3 linked regions of the Elephas maximus indicus genome follow. The protein of the gene in region 2 binds, or shares a complex with, the protein of the main gene of each other region. Links are inferred from orthologs where the notes say so. Each region holds a gene or a part of one and is shown on either strand. Other genes may lie near its edges.

Region 1 (7,058 bases), on a different chromosome or scaffold from region 2:
TTGAGTAGTGTAGAGTTATGTGTATGGAAGTCTTTCAGGGCCACAACTGAGTTGAGCTATATTGAGTTGTATAATCATGTGAGTCTCGTAGGGCCAGTTCAGTAGGGTCATATGATTGACTTGAATTACATTGAGTGTGTCATTGTATGAGTCCTGTAGGAATGTTGGATTGAGCTTTACTGTATGTATGTATGAGTTCTGTAGGGCCATGTTGGGTTATTTAGGATTTAGCTGTAGCACCAGGACCCAAGGATAACAACATAGGGGAGGAATTATGGATGGGGGAGTGAGCATGGCGTTGTGGGCCCTGAGAAGATATGCCAACTGGCTTAGCCAGCGTAACTCCATAAGGGAGCAAGGTTGGATTCTGTATTTGTGGATTCAGCTATTCATCCGGAGAGGCGCTGGGTGAACCAGGGAAATGTGGACACTCCTTCCATTCACACAACCTGCTTTGTTTTGCCATTCAAAACCCTTCTCTATCTGTCCTTCTCTGCATTTTTGCTCTCAGATAAGGAGATTAGGGCCACGGGAAGAGGGAGAGGAGAGAATACTGTTTGTACCCTGTTTAGACATAATGGGGGCACAGACACCAAAAGCAGGATACAGGGACCCACAGAGGTATTGAATTAGAGAGAGAAGAAGGGACAGAAATTCAGAGAGGAGGAACAGAGACCAAAGAGAGAGGGACAGAGACCTAGAGTAAGAGGAGGGAGAGAGACCCTGAGAAAGGGGAATAAAGACCCAGAGAGAGAGGGGGACAGAGACCTAGAAAGAGATGGGAACAGAGACCTGGAGAGAGAGGAGGACAGACAGTCAGAGAGAAAGGGGAACAGGGACCCAGAGAGACAGGGACAGACACCCAGACAGAGAGAAGAGGACAGAGACCCAGAAAAAAGGGGATAGAAATTCAAAGAGAGAGGCGGACAGAGACCAAGTTTGGAGGATAGAGACCCAGAGGGGGGTGTGAGACCCAGAGGGGGGTGTCATGCACCAGAGAATGACAGACACCCAGAGATGGAGACAGATCATAGAGGCCCCAGAGAAAGAGAACCAAAAGAGGAAAAGGCAGAAAAAGTCAATACCCCTAAACCCAAGAGAAAGACACAGATTCTCGATTTTACAAAACTATAAAGAGATCCTACACCAGGGTCTGTCGCCCAATCTCCCCACAGCTCAGGAAAGCTGTCAGCCACACTGGGTATCTCATCTGCTTTCCAGGGGAGAGACCCAAGTGTCAGAGAAAGGGAGAGGCTTTCCAAGGTCGCAGAGCAAGTTGCCAGGGCCGGAACTTGTGGCAGGCTGCCTGACTCCACATGCCCCCATCCGCCTGGGACACCCATGGCCTCTCAAGTTCAGTAGCCTCATTTCTGGCAGATAAAGAAATTGAGGCACAGAGGGAGGGGTGTTACCTAAGGTGGCAAAGCCAAATTTTTTCAGAGCAAAAAGGGCATTTGGAGGACAATGATAATAATGGTGATGTCGATGGTTATAATCACTAACACATACAGGGCTTCCTACGTACCAGGCATCAATCGAAGGACTTGTATTAATTTATTAAACTCATCCAGTGGTTTACAGAGTATTGTTGTCATTGTTTTTGGATATAATTACCCTTCCCCCCCCCTTCTTTAATTTGGTCAAATGAAATCTTATTTAGAGGCATCAGTGGGAAATGTCAGAGAGGACCTGGTTTGGGAGGAACACACATCCTTTCTAGTTCTTCTTGGCAACTCAAAATGCAGCTAAGGAATTCCATTTGGAAACGACTGATTTAATCCAACCACTTTTTTATACAGAGAAAGAGAGAAAAAGGTACAGATAATGAGAAGACTTTGGTAAAGGTTGTAAATAGTATAACTTTTTTTTTTTTTTTTTTTTTTTTAGGTAATTACTTCTTGCTTAAATAGAAAGGAAGTCATGTCTAGAGACAGAAATGGAGACAGACCCCCTACAGTGACAGAGACAAGCAGATGCTTAGAGTGAAGACCCCAGCACAGAGACCCAAAGAGGGAGGTGGATGCAGAGAGGGACTGAGACCTGGAGGAAGGGTAGCAATTCAAGGGGAGGAGGTAGAGCAAGAGAGAGGAGGACAGAGACCCAGACAGTGGGACACAGGGACCCAGAGAGATAGAGGAAGACAGAGACCCAGACAGAAGGGGACAGAGACCCAGAGAGAAGGGGACAGAGACCCGGAGAGAGGTGGGCAGAGACTCAGAGAGGGGGACAGAGACCCAAAGAGGGGTGACAGACCCAGAGAGAGAGGGACAGAAACCAGATAGAGGGAAGGACAGAATCCGGGGTGGGGGGGGGCGAGACCCAGAGAGAGGGAGACAAAGACCAGAGAGGAGGGGACAGAGACCCAGAGTAAGGCACAGAGAGACTCAGAAAGAGGGACAGAGACCCAGAGAAAGAGAGGAACAGACACCTATGGGCAGGGCAGAGCTTGAGGAGACCCTCCCACTATTTTTGTTACCCTTCTTTGAAAACTCAGCCCTGCTACCTCATCAGAAACCTGACTTTACACAGAGCCCCTGTGGTAGGGGGTGGAATGAGGGAAAGTGTGCTGAGGTCAGGGAGATGACCCAGAGGCTGGGAAGGTACTCCTCCCCCAGCTCCAATAAACAACTGCAGCCGCCTTCTATGCACCCTTGGCTGGGATGAGGAGGTGGAGAGGGGAACACCCTAACTAGGGGACACCCTTCCTGCCACCTTGCCATGCTATATTTAGGCTGAGGGAGGGGTACGGGATGACCCCCCAAGACGGGTGTCAGCTTTCCTCCTGAAAATAGCTCAGGGGGAGGGGAGTGGAGTCCCGGGGTGGAGGTGTTGTAGGGTGACCGGCCCTGTGGTGTAACTGTCCCGGGGCTCTCTCCAACTCCATCTTTCTTGGGGTTTCGTGGGGTCTCTGTCCCCCTCTCCCTGAAACTCTGTCTCCACTCTTTGTCTTGGTTTCTGTCACTTTTTATTTCTGTGCCTTTCCCCTTTTCTGCCTTCATCGTTCACTATCCACTCTTTCTCTAAGCAGGTCATTCTATTAGAAATACACCTTTACGTGAGTTCCATACTACCTGCAATTTCTCTTGGCTGAGCTCAGGGCCCGACGACCCTCTCCACAGTCCCCACCCAGGAAATTCCAGGATAGAGGACCATGTGGGAGAGCCCCCCACATTCACTGCCCCCCAGGGCCTCGGATCTTATCACTGCCCAAGTCCAGCTGGTTAATGTCTGGCACGGAGCTCCTGGGAAAGTGGGGATGTGAGCAGAGGGTGGGAATCTGCCCCAGCATTGACACTAAATTGGCAAAAGAAGGCAAAAGAATCTCAAAGCCCAGACTCTTGGATATGACGGAGGAGGGGGCTGGGGTCTGACTCCCGAGTGTGAGGAAGGAGGGGGCTGGGGGCCCAGACCTCTCAGTCTGAGGAAGGAGGGGGCTGGGGGCTCAGACCCCTCAGTCTGAGGGAAGAGGGGGCTGAGTGCCTGGACCCCTGACTTTGAGGGAGAAGGTTGGGGACCCCAACTCCTGGGTCTGAGGGAGGAAGGGGCTGGGGTCCTGGACTTCTGAGTCTGAGGGTGCTGGGACCCGTACTCCCGGGTCTGGGGGCGGAGGGGGCTGGGGGGCCCGGATTTCCGGGTCTGAAGGAGGAGAGGGCCGGGGCCCGTACTCCTGATTATGAGGGAAGGCGAACTGGGGCTGGGGAAGCCCTGATTTCCAGGTCTGAGGGAGGAGGCAGCTGGGGGCCCGGACTCCCGGGTCTAACGTAGGAGGGCGCAAGGGGCTGGGATTCCTGGGTCAGAGGGAGGAGGGGGCCGGGGGGCCGGGGGCCCGGACTGCCCCCGGGACCGAGAACCGCCACGTGCGAGCTAGCGGCCCGGCTCCCGCGGTCCGGCGCGAGTGGAAGGCGGCCCCGGCCCCGCCCCGCCGACGGCCCGCCCCCGCCCCCGCCCCCGCCCGCGCCCCCGCCCCGGGCCCTCCCGAGCGAGTGCGGCGCGGAGCCGGCGGGCGCGGGCGGCCCTGCAGACAGCGAGCGGGAGGTGGAGCCGCCGCCGCGCCAGGGGCCGCCGAGGAGCCAAGGACGGCGCCCCAGGTAAGAGCCTCCCGCCTCCGCCCCCGGGATGCCGGCGTCCGGGTCGCCCTGCCCCCGGGTGGGGAGGGGCGGGGGCGGGGCCGGTGGGGGCGGGGCTTGGCGGAGGAAACTGAGGCAGGAGCGCAGTGTCCGGGATATCCAGTGCGTCCCCCCCCAGCAGGGTCTCAGGAGTCCTGCCCTTCAGTCCAAACCGTCTGGTGGAAGGAGGGGCCTGGGAGTCTGCATTTTCAGTACCTGGAGAGGAGGGACCTGAACACCAGAACTCCTGGGTCCCGAGGGAGGAGGGTCCTGCGGGCCCATCAACTCCCTGGTGTGAGGGGGGAGGGAGATTGGGGCTAGAACTCCTGGGTCTGAGGGAGGAGTGGTCCGGGATTCCTGGACACCTGAGTACACGAGAGGAGGGAGCTGGGGGCCGGACTCCCGGGTCTGAGGGAGGAGGGGTCGGGGACCTGGATCCTGGGTCTGAGGGGAGGGAGCGGGGGCCTGAACTCAGGATCTGGGAGAGGAGGGCCTGGGGACTCGGACTCCTGAGTTTGAGCGAGGAGGGGACTGGGGCCCCCCGACCCCTGGGTCTGAGGATGAGGGGGGTGGAAGCTGGGACTCCTGGTCCTGGCTGGGGCAACATGCGCTCCTCTTCACACCCCACCCTTTCCGTTTCCCATCTCTGCGCCAGGGCAAGCAGCCACTCCAGGTATGTACTGTAGAAGTCTTGGGCGGGCCCTGGCCTGTCCTGTGAGGAGGGAACATTCCAGGAAGCAGCCTCGGGGACCCAGGGCCCTTAGGGACCCGGGTGTCCAGGCCCGCCCCGCGCCGCCCCCGCCGAGTCTGGGAGATGAATGGGCCGGGGAGGAGGATGTAATCTTTTCCAGCCTCCTCCATCCGCTGCCTCTCCCCTCCCCCCATCCCAGCCAGGAACCATCACCTGGGCAGGGAAGGGGCCTCTGGGAAGGGGGCGGCCCAACTCCTGGGTACCTTGTGTAGTAAGAGGAAAGCAGGGAAAGGCATATCAGGGTCTCATCCCTCCCCCCACCTGTCTATCCAATCTGCCTGTTCCTCCTTCTCCCTAGGTGGTTGCCCCCTCCTTCTCCTGAAATGTCAGGAAGGAGGGGGCCAACTGTGTCCCCCACAGGGGCCCCCTGGAGCCTGGGGGCCCCCAGCCCGGGAGCTTGGAGGCGGAGGAGGTGCTGACAGGTCTGGTAACCACCCCCTGCTTCCCAGCCCTCTCCAGGATACCCTTTCCCAGATCCACGGGCTTCTAGAATATTGTAGAGGAACTGCAGTAGCCACACCCCCCACAGCATCTCCCAGTCCTGGGTCTAGTTCACAGACAGAGAAACGGAGTCCTTGCCTGAGAGGGGGAGTGTCTTGCCGTGTTAATGGCAGTTTTCAGCTGAACTTGGGTCTTCCCAGGATCCCAGAACTTGGCCTTTCTCAAAATTTTGGAACTCACACCTCCTCCAAGCAGCAGGATTTGGGGTTCCTCAGGGTTATAGAGGTAAGATGGGCAAGTGAAATTGCCCAGGGTGGGTTCAAGTCCCGTCACTGTCGCTTGCTAGCTGTGTGACCTGGTGCCTGTAACAAGTCTCTCTGAGCCTGTGTTTCCTCATTTGTTTGTTATTATTACTGTTGTTAGTTGCCATAGGGTCAATTCCAACTCATGGCGATGCAGAGTAGAACTGAGCTGCTTAAGGTTTTCAGGGCTGTGACCCTTCAGAAGCAGATTGCCAGCCCTTTCTTCCGAGGCACCTCTGGGTGGGTTCAAAATACCAATCTTTCAAGTTGAAAGCTTAACTGTTTGCACCACCCGGGGACTCCTCGTATTAGTAATAGTAATAGAATATTTATTACTAATTTAGAAGTTGGGTATTATCCAAGTCCCAGAATATAGGGTCCTTAAAAATTCTAGAACAAGGGCCTCACCATGGTTCTGACATGCAGGCTTCCCTGGGGTTCCCAGCTTTTGCAGTCTTCTCTAACCCCAGCTCCCCCTCTCTCTTCAGGTGCTCAGCAAGATGCTCCCCCACCTCTCCAGCTCTCTCCCCATCCTCCTCCTCTTCCTCCTCCCCAGCATCCCATCAGAGCCCCGTCCCCCACCCACACCACTACCCCCATTTCTGGCCCCTGAGTGGGACCTCCTGTCCCCTCGAGTAGCCCTGTCCCGGGGCGCCCCCACAGGGCCCCCCTTGCTCTTTGTGTTGGAGGCTGGGGCCTTTGGGGAGCCTGGGGGCACTCCAGCCAACCGCAGTCGCCGCGGGGTGAGTGAGACAGCACCTGCCAGTCGCAGGGGTGAGCTGGCTGTGTGCGATGCAGTCAGTGGCTGGGTGACAGACCGCCGGACAGCCGTGGACCTGCGTGGGCGTGAGGTGGAGGTGCTGGGCGAGGTGCCTGCAGCTGGCGGCAGCCCCCTCCGCCAGTACTTCTTTGAGACCCGATGCAAGGCGGAAAACGCTGAGGAAGGTGACCCTGGTGGGGGTGGCGGGGGCTGCCGGGGTGTAGACCGGCGACACTGGGTATCTGAGTGCAAGGCCAAACAGTCCTACGTGCGGGCATTGACCGCTGATGCCCAGGGCCGTGTGGGCTGGCGATGGATTCGAATTGACACTGCCTGCGTCTGCACACTCCTCAGCCGTACTGGCCGGGCCTGAGGCTGGGCCCGGGAACTGGACAGGCCAAGGAAGAAGACACCTGGATGCTGAAGGACCTTGGGGAAGGCCTGGCTGTGCTGGGGGTCTGTTTGCAAATTTGTCAAATGCATGCCAAATCCCAGCTCTTTGATTTTAAGAGCTCAATCTGTGTAGGACAGGTGATAAAACCAAGTGGGGTATTGAAAGATGAATAGTTCTGCTGGAGGATAATGATGATGATGATGATAGCCAATATTTACTTAGTGTATATCAGCCCTAATACATAACACCTCAGCTAACTCTCTTGGATTGGACCATTGGAGGCCCTCAGCTTCTAAATTGCTGA
Region 2 (7,843 bases):
ACACAGTGGCTGCAACAATGGGCTTAAGCACAAGAACAATTGTGAGCATGGTGCAGGACTGGGCAGTGTTTCGTTATGTCGTACAGAGGGTCGTTGTCAGTCGTAACCGACTCGATTGCACCCAACAATTGTTTTTGTATGATTTCTAGTTGTGGATTTATTTTGGCATTCCTGTATTGTTTTCCCGAATTCTTCCATTATTTTTGGTCTGCCTTTTCCATGAATTCGTCTATTTTTTTCTTCATTTTTGTCTGCTTTTTACTTCAGCTCTTAGATAGCTCTGAATATTAGAGATTTGAATTCCCTATATTTTTTTTATGATCAGGTAGTTCTAGTGACTTTTCTTCTTCTGGAAAGTCACCTGATGTTTTATTTTGGATGTCCACTGGAACTTTTTTTGGGTACTGGAACCAACCTGTCCTTTTTTTTTTAAGCATGTTTTCATATTGTCTGCTGTCTTCAGGACATTCAGTAGTTCTATTCTTCATTTATTGATCGTAGATTTGTTTGTTTTATCCTGCTTTTTTTTTTTTGTTTTATTTGGTTATGTCTGAGCAGGTGGGCTGTGCGTTCTTTGTTATTTGCTTGTCTGTGGGTACGGTACTCTTCACCTCCTTGTCCAAAGGGCAGGGCCATTCACTCAGCTACGGTGTAGCAGGGCAGGTTCAGCAGGTGCTCTGTCTCCTGCCGGGAGCTCTGTGGATCTGCTTTCCTGTACTCCCTGTCCACTGCTCTTTGACATGGGCGGGGTGAATCCAAGCTGCACGGGGCCTTCACCTGCATGGAGCGCTCAGCTAACTAGAAGTGATGGATGCTCAGCAGCGGGGAGAAGGATGGGGGGTGGGAAAGTGTATATCGCCAGTTACCAGGTGCTCTGTGTCCTGTTGGGAGTTCTGTGAAGCTGCTTTCTCCTACTCCCTGTCCGCTGATCTCCGACAGGAGTCCAAAATGGTGAATCTGTGCTGTGTTAGCTGATAAGGGACCTCTGCATGTATCTTTCTTTGCTCTCCATTCTCTGTCAGCTTCTTCGTCTATTCGGTGCTTGGCTGAGTTATTTATCTCTTCATTTGATGCTTAGGGTTTCAGGACTGACATTTGTCTCCATTTTACTTAGTTTTTTTGAGTCTTTACTGTGGAGGGATGGCATGGTGCTTCAGTCTATAGCACCATGTTGTCTCCTCTTCCTTCCAAATTTTCATATGCTGTGTTTTCAACTTCTTTTTGACTTCTTCTTCATCTCAGCACTGGATACTGTTGCCTTCAATCCTTTCAGTGGGCTTTTCTCTGGTCTCAGGTACTTTCCTCGCCCACACGTGGTAGTCAGTTCTCCGCTGAATACTGAAGATCTTTGGATTTCTTTCTCTGTGCAACTCTTGCCTCCTTCTACTCCCTCCTTGATTTTCCTGGACTCTCAGCTGTGCCTTCTCAAGTCAGGGAACCCTATGGACTCTGCCTGGGTTCCCTCTCCCTGATCCATGGCCTGAGGTTATCTGAAGGTGGGGGGCTCAGGCAAGTGTAGGGCTCACCTTGTTTTTTTCCCATGCTTCAGTTTTATAAAATGTTGTTTCATATATTTTGATATCTTCTCACATATCAAAGAGAGATGGCTTGGTTATTTTGCTCGGAAGTTAAATCTGTTCCCTAAATACTCCTTAGAAACAGAAGTTGGCATTATCTTTATTTTTTACAACCTGTATTGGATGTTGAAATCAATTTATTAAAACTACAAAATGAACCAATGTCACTGAACAATTTGTGTAGAAATTGCCAAATGGGAACCTAATTTGCTGTGCAAACTTTCACCAAAAACACAATAAAATTTATTTTAAAAATTAAAGAAAAAAAACCCCAAAATAATGTAGAATAGAAAAGAAAATATGCATTGCATGTATTAAGGGTAAATAAGTTTTATTATGTTACACTTTGTTCAGTTATATGTATGTGTGTACTGGGTTGGAGCCCTGGTGGCGTAGCGGCTAAGAGCTTGGCTTCTAACCAAAAGGTAGACAGTTGGAATCCATCAACTGCTCCTTGGAAACCCTATGTGGCAGTTCTACTCTGTCCTATAGGGTTGCTGTGAGTTGGAATCGATTCTATGGCAACGGGTTTGGGTTGTTTTTTTTTTTTTTTTTTGGTACTGGGTTGTGATGTAAAAGGCATTTCTTATTGTGGGTCATGGTCAAAATAATTCGAGAAACACTGTTCTAGGTACTTCATGGTCCAGTACAGGTTGATGTTCTTAGTTGCTGTGGAGTCATGGTGACCCCACGTGCAACCCCATGCCTAGTCCTGCACCCTCCGCATAATCAGTTGCAGATTAGACACTTGTGATACATAGGGTTTTCATTGGCTGATTTTCTGAAGTAGATCTCCAGGCCTTTCTTCCTAGTCCTTCTTAGTCTGGAAGTTCCGCTGAAACCTGTTCAACGCCATAGCAACATGTGAGCCTCCACTGACAGATGGGTGGTGGCTGTACATGAGATGCATTTGCTGGGAATCAAACCTGGGTCTCCCCACATGGAAAGTAAGAATTCTGCCAGTAAACCACCAATGCCTTCCTGTACAGGGTAAGAGTCTGTAAAACTTCATCTTCATCCCTGCATTGAAAGATTCACATGATCTTGGGAAAAGTATCTATTTCATTTTGTTCATTTGCTGTAAAACCAAAAACCAAACTCAGTACTGCCAAGTCCAGTCAGATTCATAGTGACCCTATGGGGCACAACAGATCTGCTTCATAGGGTTTCCAAGGCTGTAATCTTTATGGCAGCAGACTGCCACATCTTTCTCCTGAGAAGCGGCTGGTGGGTTCAAACCTCCAACTTTGCCGTTAACAGCTGAGTGCTTTAGCCACTGCACCACCAGGGCTTCTGTTCATTTGCTATACGGGTCGTATTGTTGTTGTTAGGGACTGTCAAGTCAGTTCCGACTCATAGCGACCCAATGAACAACAGAATGAAATACTTCCTGGTCCTGTGCCATCCTCACAATCGTTATGATGTTTGAGCAGATTGTTGCAGCCACTGTGTCAATCCATCTCATTGGGGTAGACTCTTCCTTGGAGGGGGCAGCTTTTCCCCAGGTGAATTTTGAGTGCCTTACAAACTGAGGGGCTCATCTTCCAACACTATATCAGACAATGCTTTGCTGCTATTCATAAGGTTTTCACTGGCTAATTCTTTCCAGAAGTAGGCCATAGAGGTTGTATAGTTCCTGAAATGATGCCTGTGAAACATCTTGTAGGTCTTAAAATTTTAAAGTTGAAATATATCCACAATTTCATCAGCTAAGACATATTAAGTGATTGCCCAGTATGTTCCATGCGCCATGGATGATAAGGTTGAGTCACCTGCTCAGAGAGAGGCCTTCCCTGCCTCACACTGGAGCATACCTGGCTGCTATAGGAGGCAGGAAGTAAGGTTTCATGAAGTGCTGTGAGAAGTTACAGCACAGGGAAGGCTTGGAGATTGTGGACCTGGCAGGAAGATTGTGGAGATGGTAGAAAGAATGTCTAGAGGAATTATTTAGAAGTCATTGCAGGGAAAAAAAAAAAAAATTTTTTTTTTTTTCATTGCAGGGTCAGAGATTAAGAAAGTGGTAGTGTGCAGGGACAGTTTGAGGAATCACGGTTTTAGTTTATTTCATGTATTCATTAAACACACATAGAAAGATATATTTTAACATCTACAATGTCCTTGAGATATGTCAAGGAACCAGGCAGATAAAAATCCCTGGCCTCATGGAGCTTGCATTCTACTGGGATAAACACAATAAACAATGAATATAATACGTAAGTAAATGATCTGTTAAACGGCCATCAGGACTATGGGAGAAAAGCAGAGCAAGGGAAAGGGTGATTAGCCAGTTCTAATTTTACCTGGGAGATACTCAGGGGGATAAACTTCGGATCTAAATATAATAGTAGTATATATCTATTACAAAAAATGCTAAAAATACTGGAGCATAATTGGAATCTTCAGGTCTACAATCCACTCTAAAACTCAGATCTTTGGACGCTGCATTGTCACTTAGCAGCCACTAGGGCGCAAATGGGCCATTTGGAAGAAAATAGGGTGAGAGTGGGGGTATGAAAGAGATGCAAGGAATTATGTACCCCTCTCAATCGCAGATGTTCCGAAGGGGCAGCTCTGCTTCAGGAGACCGGTAAGAAACGTGGGATTTTACTGCGTGACCTGACCCAAGACATCTTTGCCCTCAACTTCCTTTCCTTAGCATGTCCTCACCCAAGTAGGGGATGGGGCTCAGAGAAGGCAGGAACTTCAGCCTGGCTGTTCAGCGTGTCACAGGCAGGTAAAGGTGGTGAGGCAGATCTACTGGCCATGTCTTCGTTGCCAGCAGCGAGACTTTGGTAGCTGCGCGGGCATTCCCACGGTACACTCAGCGCCTAGGGTCTACACAAAAGCCCCACTGGATGCTTTCGGTTCACTTGTAATATTTAAGGCGTCACTGAGATCCGAGCATTCATCTTGAAGTTTGGATTTCTCTATTCTTCCCACCTCTAGCCTCTGTGGGCAGATTAATGACCATTTTTGTCTTTTGGAGGAGACCTCAGTCCATCGCCCTCTCTAGCGCCTAGGGCAGTCCGCCTTTTTCTGAAGCAGGAGCTGGGCAAGGCCAGAAGGGCCACGCATCGGGCGTACCCGGGTGCGCACGCGTCGGGCGCAGCTGGTTGCGCATCTGGCTACAGAGCGCGCCCCCGACACCGCGCGGGTCGCAACCGCGGCGGTGGGCTGGTGCTCCCGAGCGTGCCGGGCGCTTTCTCCCCGCGCGGGGGCACCAGAGCCCTCGGAAGTGTCAGGCACTGCGGTGCATTTTCTCAGTTCCCTTTTAAATGACTGCGGAAAAACAGACTCTCTGAGCCGCAAATGGGAAGACGGATTCTAAGACAAGGCTCGCGAATGCCCCGGAGCCATCATTTACCTGCGCCTGCAGAGCAGTTACGGTTTATCACTCGACTCGTCCGGATCGCCTCGTTTGTCCCTAGTGAGACCCTGAGGCTTTGCCCGCGCCGGGCTTCTCGGTAGCTGAATGCATGTCGTGCTCCAGGGAGCGCGGGCACAGGGCACGCATTCGCGCACACCCGCGCACACACGAACACGCACAAGGTACGGCAGGGGAGTACGGGCTCGGGGTGCCCCGAGTAGGGGTGGGTCTCGCGGGGAGTAAAGCTACGACCTGGGAACGGCTGCGTCCTTCCAGGTTAAAGAAAAAGAGAAAATGACGCGGCGCCACACATTGGACAGGCCAAGGCTGCTTCCGCGCATTTAGGAAACCCAATACGGGTCAGGCGAGCCCCCTTTCCTTCACATGGCTCTATTTCCCAAGCGTGTGATGCCAGAAATCGGCAGAAAAAAGACCCACTTAGAGAGCCCAGAGTTGCGTTTGGAGACTCCCCTCCCTCTGCAAAAATACAACAGGAAGACCTTCCAAAACCACCGATCCCCAGATAGGTGGCCCGGAATGGGGGTGGTGATCTTTGGTTGCCAATGCAGAACACTTTTTGGTATTTACAATATTTATTTATTTTTAGGATAGCCCGCCCTCCCTTTTCGGCAGGGTGGGAAAGGAGAACGCAGCAGGGAGGGGTTGGGAAGATTCCTATAATAAGAATCAGCGCATTTTTCAGAGCTGAACCGAGCCCGGTTTCCATTTCAAAAAAAGGCAACAGCCTCTACTGCAATTGTAGAAGAGACTGCGGTGAGAATTAGGGACCTGGGGGCTGGGGGAGGCGTTGAGTGGAGGAATGGTCCATCTCAGAGGTACCTGGATCTAAATGCACACACGCACACACACTGGCGCGCGCGTCTACACGGCCAGGATGTGTGCGTGTGTGTGCGCGCGTGTGAACTCCCACATGCTGCTGCTGTCTGCTTCTGGCCAGTGGCACCCGTACTTCCCTCCTCCTCTCTCGCCCCCAGATTCTCCTCCCCTCCCTGTTGCTTTTGTCTGGAGGGTGTTATGGGTTTGTGTGTGTATAAGCGTGTGTGTTTTTGGATTTCAGACTAATTTTCTGGAGTTTCTGCCCCTGCTCTGCGTCAGCCCTCACGTCACTTCGCCAGCAGTAGCAGAGGCGGCGGCGGCGGCGGCTCCCGGAATTGGTTTGAAGCAGGAGCCTCGCTCGCTCCTTCTCTTGCGCTCTCCGCGGCTCAGTGCCCGGCGGCGGGAGGAACGTGGATCCAGGCGCCGCCGGCGGGTGGGAGGCGCCGGAGCCTGGGTGAGCAGCGCGGGCAGTGCCCTTCGTCCCCTCGGCCCTCACTATCCCCCCTGGGGCGGCCTCAGCGGCTCCCCAGGTGGGACGCGCCGCGCCACCTGCCCGCGCTCCCAGCGCCCAGCGGCCGTGGCGGATTCTGCAGCATCATTCGGGGACCCCGTCGCGGAGTCAGCACCGCCGGCAGTCTCAGCGTCCCCCTATAGAGGGTCCTTCGCCCGGCCTACGCCATGGAATCCTGTGGGGGGGACTTTTGCCCTACCTTCCCTTCCCTGACCTCAGGCTTGGAGAGAGGGTGGGCGCACTGTTTGCCCCAGCAGCGTCAGTGCCATCGTGGGGCAAGTCGATTTCTAGGGGCCGGAGCGGGGCCCTCATCCATCCATGGTTTCCCTGCTGGGGTCGGGGTGGGGGTAAAGGGAGCGCAAAGGGAGAGTACCCCAATTCGCGGTGTCTGGGGTCCCACGCTCAGGCTCATGTGTGTCTATTTGTCTTCAGCCTCGAGGTACGTCCCGGATCCCCGTGCGCATTTAACCAGGAGCCTGCGCGGGAGCCAGTCCCGGGAGCGCCGCCGGCCGGTGCCCACCGCGCCAGGCCATGCAGCGGCGGCCGCGGCGGAGATCTGAGCGGCGGTAGCGCCCCCTGTGAGGTTGCCCTCAATGCCCCAGGCACTGTGAACCGTGCCGCCAGCCGGGACACACTCAGCCCCGGAGACGCTCGGCTCTGCACGCCGGCGACCAGCACCGACTAGTCGAAGGACCGGCGAGCGCGGGGAAGGCCGCTCGGCGCGGGCAGAGGAAGCCGACCGGTGCAGCGCGAGGACACGCACTTGGGCTGACTCGGACTGGCACTGGCGGCTAGGGATGTCGTCCTGGACGAGGTGGCATGGACCCGCCATGGTGCTGTTCTGGGGCTTCTGCTGGCTAGTTGTGGGCTTCTGGAGGGCTGCGCTCGCCTGCCCCACATCCTGCAAATGCAGCGCCTCTCGGATCTGGTGCAGCGACCCTTTTCCGGGCATCGTGGCATTTCCGAGGTTGGAGCCTAACAGTGCAGAGCCTGAGAATATCACCGAAATGTGAGTTCCTGATGCTCTTCCTCCTTTCTTTCTTCCTCAGCCCGAAGGTTCCCTCCTCAGCACTAGGGCCCGGGCCTGCCAGGCGGGTACTTTCAGGGCGTGAGTGCTGTCCCAAGTCTGGGGAGAAGTCAAATGAGAAGAGATGGAGGGAAGGGGCGCCTGTCAGTTTACCTGGCTTGGGGCTGCTAGCTCAAGGAGAAGTGTGACACTTTTATATACATATATATGTATATGTGTGTATGTATATATACTCGGTACAGAAAGGAATTCCATATATACTTTATATTTGAAAGCCCTGCTGAGTGTGCTTTCGGCTTTCCATATGATATACAATAACTTAGCTTTGGACATTTTTGTGCCATAAGATGCTATGTTTGTGTCATGTTAGAAGTTCCAGCAAGATTTAAATAGAAAGGTGGTTAAAATAATCAGCTTTCCAAAATCTGTCCAAGGAGGTCTCTCCACCAGCATCTTTCTGTGAGGTTTGGTGTTAACCAATTTCCCTTTTGATTTCATAGATCAGATTTTGCTTAGGAGATTGC
Region 3 (7,608 bases), on a different chromosome or scaffold from region 2:
TCTCATTATGCACCTCCTTGCCCATAGTTCTAGTGAAAGTATCACCATCACCATCGCCCACAGCTAGAGAGTATAATCTACTTCCATCTCCTCCAAACCCTCCCCAATGATTTCCCCTCTCACCCACCTACTAAATCAATTGCCAAGTCTTCTTACTGTTAAACTTCTGTTCTCATCCCACTGCCATTGTCCTTGCCCTGAATACCATATTCAAAGTCAGTTTTCCACAACAGATCATTCTACACACTACACAATTAGACCTCAATAGCTTCTTATCACTTCCCAAATGTTGAACTCCTAAATACAGCATTTAAGCATGCTCCACAATCCAGCTGCAACTTAAATTTCAAACTTGATCTCTTATTCCCCAAAATGACCCCTATATCCTAAGTAACCTGGTCCACGAGCTTTTCTCTGAGTACACAGTGTACCTCCCCACCTCCACGCTTCTGCTAACGCCATTCTCTTTATTTGAAAGGCCTTCTTCACCCACCTACTACTTCCAACCCTTGAATCTTTGTCTTAGAACTCAGGTTACTAGTTACCTGATAGCTACAAAAACCTAGGCAAGTTAACATATTTGAGCCTCAGGGGCCTCATTACTAAGAAAGATGCTTACACGGCTGTTGTCATCTTAGAAAATACATGTAAAGCAGCTAACATAAGGCCTGACATTCACTAAGTGCTCAATAAACAGTAGCTCCCGCACTATCCTTGTATTACTATACTTCCACATTTCCCATTATTACTCCCACTGAAAGTGAACCCTTTTTCCTTTTGTACAACTCCAAACTTTGGGTCAAACTGATCATGGGGTATTTACATATATTTCTTTATGTTGTAAATATTTATGCAAACATCTTACATCCTCCTACCAGATTTCAAATCCCTGAAACCAAAGGCTTGATCTTTGTATCCTATAATGCCTAGCAGTGTTTTTCACTGCTAGCAACACCCATCTTCAATGTTAAGTCCCAACTGCCTAAACAATATAATTCTCTTCTTCATGATTTCTGACACCTTAGAAAATTATTGCCAAAACCGAAATTTGAGTTGCTATGGCTGTATCTTTTTATGCTCCTACATGGTTGTCTAACATAAGCTGATGCACAGCAAAGGTTTACTATCTGTTGAATTAACGTGAATAATATAATAAAATTTACAATGCCTAAGAGCATCTGATTTCTGTCATCTTTTTCTGCTCTTACAATTCCTGAACTATTTCCTTTCAAACCATATTAACTATCAAACCTTCAGTACAAATCTGTAATCATATCTAACTTAACTCTTTCTCCAAATTCTCTTAATTTCAATATTCCAACTTTATGCTTTAACCAATTAAGCAATTCAGGCTGTTAGGAATCTACAGCGCTCCTGTAAGTCAAGCAACTAATCTTCCCTCCACAATATTTTCCAGAGAGTTTTTAAAAAATATCCACCCTTTGAGATAAAATTTTCTTTGCATAGGAGAACTACTCACTTCAGTCTATCTTCCCTAATTCATGATATTACCTCCCCATACATTGAAGGAAAGGAGAATAAGTACACCAAAATAACTGTAGTATAAGTCCTAATATAACCACAAGATAAGAGGTGCAGAAAAGTACAGAAACTTCACTAGTTTCATGAAGATGGTCAATGTATACTTCACACTAAAAAATTTAAAAAAGAAAAAAAAAGTCATCTGCTCATAGCCATAATCTGCTGTAACTACATTCTCTTATGGCCATAATTTTTTCTTTTTTTTTTTAAATCACCATTCGAAATGGGAAAATCTTATTTCCCATAATCTTTCAACAAGTCTATATTATTTAAATCAAAAAATAACTACATCCACCCTCTCTTCTAGGAAATTCTCAATTTATTCGAGGTAAACACTTCCTAAGTTACACACACACACACCCTCCTCTGCCCACCTGTGTGAACCTCTCTCTGCACTGCAGCAACAGCTGTAACAATGTAAGAAACCTCTGAGGAGTAAACAAGAAAAAATTTTCTTTTAAGTGAAGGAAAATAACAGTTTCAAGTATGAAGATAAACTTCGGGACAGAAGGTATACAATTCTTCAACCCTTTGCAAGCAATTCCAAAACATGCAACAACCGCAGGCTGAACTCATCATACAACCGTGACTTCAGGTAGCCACGGAATCAGGAGTGCAGATGTGAAAAGAACATCATTTTTTTTTTTAAGTCTGCAAGAAAATACGGGAGCTTACGTGAAGTACTGATTTTTCCCAAGTAAGTTTTCTGTTTTGTTTTGAAGTGACTTCAATAAACGCTTCAGCAAGCTTTTAAGTGAGTAAAGATCATGTGAGGCAAGCCGATGCCACCGTGACCTACGTATCCAAAACCCGTTAAGAGCGCCGTCCAAATCGGCCCAGCACAACCCCAAAGCGGGTCTCCGTGGAAAGCATCGCAAAAGATCCCCAGCAGCTACGCACGCAACGCCCCACCCTGCAACTGAGGAGACGACACCCCTGAGACCTGGGCTAATTACTGAACCCGAGAACAAACCCATGGAAGACCAAAGTCGGGGACTGGAGCCCAAGATTGAGTCTGGTGTCCGAGTCGCTAGCTCCCAGACAGACACCGTAAACCAAGTTGGGGAGGCGGCGCTAAGTCTTGGGGGAGCAGAAACGAAGGGAGTCGGACCGACCGAGGCCCAGCCTATTCCCACTCCCGAGTCCCAAAAGCAACAACAGCTTCGGGAACCCCCTCCCCGGCTCCGCCCCGTCCATCCCCATGGCCCAGCTGCCCCGCTACTTCCCGCCCGGACGACTCGGCGGAGACCGCGGCGGCCCACAACCCGCTTCCCTCGGACCCCGACAGCCGAACCCGCAGCCCCGAGCCCAGAGAGGGCGGCGGGGGCCCGAAAGCGCCCCAACGCGGGCCTGAGGTCGTCCCAGTCTGCTCCCCCGTCCACTCACCGTCGGCCTACATGCCGGGAGGGGAGAGGGCGCGGGTCAGGGAGCGCAGAACCCCAGGTTCCAACCCTGGCTGGAGCCCCCACTTGAGAGCCGTTCGAGCTTCAGCTGCTTTGCCTACAAGGCCTCTCTCCGGCCCGAACCTTGGAAAAGCACTTCCGGGGGAGCGGGGAGGGAAGGGTTTTGGCACCGGAACTGCTCTCGGGCTGGAGCTGCCAGGGCCTCCCGGGCAGGGCGGGGCGGGGCGGGGCGGGGCGGGGAAGGGCGGGGCCTCTCCGCCCCGCGCCCGCGCAAATCTGCACCTAATCCGCCCCGCGGCTCCACCTTAACCCTTTACAACCCCGCACCCTTTATTTTTCTCGTGTCCGGGTTGTTCTACTCACTCCGGCCACCTTATTTCAACGACGAGGAAATCGAGGCTCAGAGAATTTAGTTGCAAGAATCCAGCGCAGACACTAGGCCTCCCGGCTGTCTCCAGTGTTCTTTCCACTCCAATCTTATTCCTTTAAAAAAAATAATAGCTAACATTTATTGAACACTTACTGTGTGGTAGACACAGCAATAGGCGCTTCCCTTATGTTAATTTATTGAATCATTCCCAAAACACTGAGGCTGGTGCTATTACCTACATCTTGCAGAAGAAAAAACTGGTCAAAGATTCCAAACCCAATACCACAAACTTGGCTTTTGGTTTTATTTTAACTCATATTGTGTATATAAATCTCATCTACCCTCAACGAAATATTTAAGTTCTTTTAGGGCAAGGACCAAATCGTATTCCATAATCACTTGCAATTTCGAAAGAGGACAAGAGCTGAGGGACTCTGGAATCACACCACCTGGTTCTGGTTATTTTTCACCAGGGCAAGTTACCTAACTTTTCCAAGCCTCGATTTAAAAAATGGCGAATATATACGTGGTGGGAGGGGGGGGCTGTTGGAAGAATTCTAGATGATAATGCATGATAAACACGTGGCAGAGTACCCCGTACCAAGATAAAGCAACCAAACCCCTTGCCAGTGGAGTTGATTCCGACTCATAGTGACCTTATAAAACCTATTGCTGGAGAGTTGATTGCGACTCACAGTGACCCTGTAACACAGAGCAGAACTGCCCCCACAGGGTTTCTAAGAAGCGGCTGGTGAATTCGAACTGCTGACCTTTTGGTTAGCAGCCTAACGCTTAACCACTGCACCACCAGGATCAACAATTCTTATACCTCATCGACAATAGGAACAATTTCTCTTCTAGTGGAGTCACTCTAGCAGAGGGTGATTAGGAAAAGTGTGGGTTAGCAATAGAAAAGGTCAGTTTAAGAAATAACAAAGAAACAGAGGTTTTTGCAATGTGAAAATTGAAGGTAAGTGAGCCAAAGAATGACCCAGGGCCAGCTTGAATGCTTCTGAAGCTGTGAACCGAGAAAATGTGAGGACCCACAGAGTCAGATGCCAGGCAGGCAAAGGAGGGAGGTAAGGAAAGAAAAAGCCACAAAATCAGAAAGGCACAGAACATTTTAGGCAGATTCTGTATCTGAGCCCAGACACAGGAAAAAAAAAAAAAAAAATGCCTCTTAGTATGCACACTATCTGCAAAACAAATTTACAAGTATCTCTTGAAACTGTGTGGGTGGAAGATTTTTTTTAATTTTCTAGTAAGGGGAAATGAAAATAGTTCAGAACTCATTATTACAAATTTCAGATGCAAACAATGCCATTACTATTGACTTTATTTATAGTGCAGTTTTATTTATTTTATTTTTGTGATCTTAGAAGTAATCTTAATTATTTTATTTTTGTGATACTTCCTTAATACCCAAATTCAAGCTGCCTTTCTTACTTCCGGGTGTGAAGAAGTAAAAAGCAGAGCCTGGGTTGGCAGGACTGAAGTCTTCTGTTTCCACCCAGGCCCTAGAGGAGTATTGAGTAGAATCCTGAATCACAGAGTGTCAGGCTCTGTGCCCACGGAGAGGTACTAGAGGTGGTCATTTAACCTGGTCATCTAACTGATAAATGTTGCAGCCATGATATTAATGCAAGTCTGTCTTCTCAAATGCTGTTCACCACCATGCCAGTGGTTCTCAAACTTGTCAGTGCATCAAAATTACCTAGAGGGCTGGTTAAAACACAGATTGCTTGGTCCCACCCCCAGAAGCCTACCGTGGCTTCGCAAAGTGAAGTCCCTGGACCAGCCACTTCAACATCATCTGGGAACGGGTTACAAATGCAAATGATTGGCCCAACCCTAGTCCTTGTGTATCAGAAACTCTGGGGTGGGACCCAGCAGTCCATATTTTAACAGGCCTTCCAGGAGATTCTGACATACTCACAAGTTTGAGAACCACTGCATTTTACTGTCTTCCACATATTACTCTGTCGAAGCAGAAATTCTTCCCACTGAACTAGATAATGTCTTGAAGCATTTTAATTATTTTTTGCCCTCAAAGGGAGATTAGGCTAGAAAAAAAAAATAGCATTAATGGCAGATTCCTTTTTTGATTACTTTAAATTTGTACAGAAACTTAACCAAATAATATTGGGATGGGTGGGGAACTAATGTCCTTTGAGAACTACTCTGTGCCAGGGGCTTTATATGGATTTTCTAATTCAATTTTCACTATACTACTATGAGGTTTTATGGTTTTAATTATTCAGATGAGAAAAACTGAAACTTAGGTGAAGTGACCAACTTAAGGCCACATTCTGGTTAAGTGGCAGAATCAGGATTGTTCAAACAAAGATCCCTCTAATTCCAAATCCTATGCTCCTTCCATTTTGTGGCAGGAGCTTTGAGAACCAAATTCCAGTGTGGTCTCCACCACCCCAACTATGCAACATTGAGTAAGCGATTTAATCTCTGTTTCAATTTCTCCATCTATAAAAAATGGTGTCATAAATCTGCTCCTCCTACACTGGAATGTCAGAACAAATGAAGAAATAAAAGTGTAAGCACTTTGAGCTATTTGAAGAAAAACAGTAAAAAGGCAAGTCATTACAGAAGTGTCTGTTTACCAGGTGTTGCTATGTGAGCCCTGGCATTAAAAGCTTTCCTGGTTATCTCCTGATTCATACATAAGACACTGAAAGACCATACTTGATGTCAAAGAAAAAGTTGAATTCATTTGTCAGTGTCTCCTGGAACTGCGAGGAGATGATAGAGGATGTCATGCATCTGTTTTAGAAATCACAGGGAACTTCTCACTGGTTGACTTTCTTCGACTCCAGGTTATTACCAGGTTGCTGACCCATCCTAATCCTAGAGGTCTCTTCTCCAAACCCTTTTTTGTCCCCATCCCAGGCACTCCTTCATTTTTCTTCCTTCCACCCAGTAGGGCAAGACTTAAAATTCCTGTTACTTTATCATGTAAAAGGTTTTGGTTCTCAATCCCCATCTCAAACCAGATTCCAGGCCTATCTTTGTTGACAGAATCACCAGGTTGCACAATTCCAGGGAGTACCATTCACAAAGAATACAATGTGAATGGTGCTCAAGGGGGTGCCAATTGCACAGACCATGATAGGAGTGCTGACCCCCTGGAACTGTGCAAGGCTGTGGCATAGCTCCCACCCCAAACTTCCATTAAGGTGTTTTGTTAAACAAAAGAGACATCTACCTGGGTGTCCACTCTTCCCCAAGCTTTAAAATAATGGGCTTCTTTGTTTGTTTTCTGTTTGTTTGTGAGCCTGATCAAATACTTAAACCACCCGGCTTAAGACCTGAGATCTACACTTTAATATAGCATTCTTCGCTCTCTTCTGCGATATTGTTGCCTATCTCCCCATTAGACTTGTGAGTTTCATGAAGACTTTATCATATTTTGTCCTCTTCATGTTTTATTCGTGCCTTGACACAAGTGCTCAAAAAGCATTTGCTGATTTGAACAACAGCATACTGTACTGTTAGTACACATTGTGAAATAAAAGAAAAAAATAGACATCTTACTTTGATTTCAAGGGGTGTCTCTTGCCCATGAGCCCAAAATTAAAAGTAAAAATGCTGAGCCAAAACTGATCTTGCCTGCAGCCTTGTTAACTTGTTTTTCACCCAAAACTGGTAATTTACTTTGCAACGTTGCTGTGCCTCTTGAAGAGGGTGGTCGATAACAAACGCATTACTTACTGACGTAATGAAGAAGACTGTGTGCGCCCTTAATTTTAATTTCAAGAAGTCTTATAGTTACAAAGGAGCCCTGGTGGCATTGTGGTTAAAGCGCTCGACCTTCAACCGAAAGGTCGGCAGTTCAAACACACCGGCCGCTCCAGGGGGAAAAGATTTGGCAGTCTGCTTGCATAAAGATTTACGGCCTTGGAAACTGTGGGGCAATTCTACTTTGTCTGATACGGTTGCTATAAGCTGAAATCCACTGGACAGCAACCGGTTTTTGGTTTGGTATAGCTACAAATATGTAAATAAACAGGTTTTTCAGGTACTTTTTAGAAAGTATTTCGCCACCATAGAAACTTATATTCATTAAGAAAAAAAAGAAAAAACTACACCTTAAAGATTTGTACAAATGAGTGCCACCACCACCACCCCCTCAAGTCGGGCCAGAGACTACCTAGTAACCTGATGCTGGCTGATCTCAGTAAATCAGCAGAGGGGTGTGTGTGGAAGGGGACGGGGAGGGTGGTTCAATCACCTTAAGATTAACCAGTGGTTGATTTTCTATCCTACACCCTCCTCTTC

Evidence for each region.
Region 1: the proteins of NTRK2 (region 2) and NTF4 are in contact, whole or in part, in a crystal structure (PDB 1HCF), measured with the Homo sapiens proteins. The link is inferred for Elephas maximus indicus from reciprocal best matches to the Homo sapiens genes NTRK2 and NTF4. Residues at the interface, in NP_001018074.1 of Homo sapiens: Phe291, Glu293, Thr296, Ser297, Asp298, His299, Cys302, Pro304, Thr306, His335, Val336, His343, Gly344, Cys345, Asn350, Thr352, His353, Met379, Gly380, Trp381, Pro382, Gly383; in NP_001382418.1 of Homo sapiens: Gly81, Val82, Ser83, Glu84, Thr85, Ala86, Ser89, Arg90, Arg91, Gly92, Glu93, Leu94, Ala95, Asp98, Ala99, Ser101, Gly102, Trp103, Thr105, Tyr135, Phe137.
Region 3: the proteins of NTRK2 (region 2) and FRS2 are in contact, whole or in part, in an NMR structure (PDB 2MFQ), measured with the Homo sapiens proteins. The link is inferred for Elephas maximus indicus from reciprocal best matches to the Homo sapiens genes NTRK2 and FRS2. Residues at the interface, in NP_001018074.1 of Homo sapiens: Pro498, Asp499, Val501, Ile503, Gly504, Met505, Thr506, Lys507, Ile508, Pro509, Val510, Ile511, Glu512, Asn513, Pro514, Gln515, Tyr516, Gly518, Ile519; in NP_001036020.1 of Homo sapiens: Val26, Asp27, Asp28, Asp29, Gly30, Tyr59, Leu60, Cys61, Leu62, Arg63, Arg64, Tyr65, Gly66, Tyr67, Asp68, Ser69, Asn70, Leu71, Phe72, Ser73, Gly77, Arg78, Ile86, Ala88, Lys90, Phe98, Gln102, Met105, Gln106, Ser109.

Annotation. Positions count from the first base shown.
Region 1 is NC_064829.1:99,427,660-99,434,717, reverse strand, and holds NTF4 (neurotrophin-4), read left to right. Parts: upstream 1-4,030; 5' UTR 4,031-4,088; intron 4,089-4,201; exon of another isoform or gene 4,202-4,229; intron 4,230-4,761; exon of another isoform or gene 4,762-4,779; intron 4,780-5,155; 5' UTR 5,156-5,279; intron 5,280-5,498; 5' UTR 5,499-5,583; intron 5,584-6,088; 5' UTR 6,089-6,100; coding exon 6,101-6,733; downstream 6,734-7,058. UniProt on the Homo sapiens protein: Target-derived survival factor for peripheral sensory sympathetic neurons. May promote ameloblast differentiation and subsequent reduction in proliferation of ameloblasts.
Region 2 is NC_064827.1:101,995,730-102,003,572, forward strand, and holds the start of NTRK2 (BDNF/NT-3 growth factors receptor), read left to right. Parts: upstream 1-4,826; 5' UTR 4,827-5,126; intron 5,127-5,633; exon of another isoform or gene 5,634-5,718; intron 5,719-5,874; exon of another isoform or gene 5,875-6,022; 5' UTR 6,023-6,235; intron 6,236-6,724; 5' UTR 6,725-7,089; coding exon 7,090-7,301; intron 7,302-7,843. UniProt on the Homo sapiens protein: Receptor tyrosine kinase involved in the development and the maturation of the central and the peripheral nervous systems through regulation of neuron survival, proliferation, migration, differentiation, and synapse formation and plasticity.
Region 3 is NC_064822.1:130,637,744-130,645,351, reverse strand, and holds the start of FRS2 (fibroblast growth factor receptor substrate 2), read right to left. Parts: upstream 3,021-7,608; 5' UTR 2,929-3,020; intron 1-2,928. UniProt on the Homo sapiens protein: Adapter protein that links activated FGR and NGF receptors to downstream signaling pathways.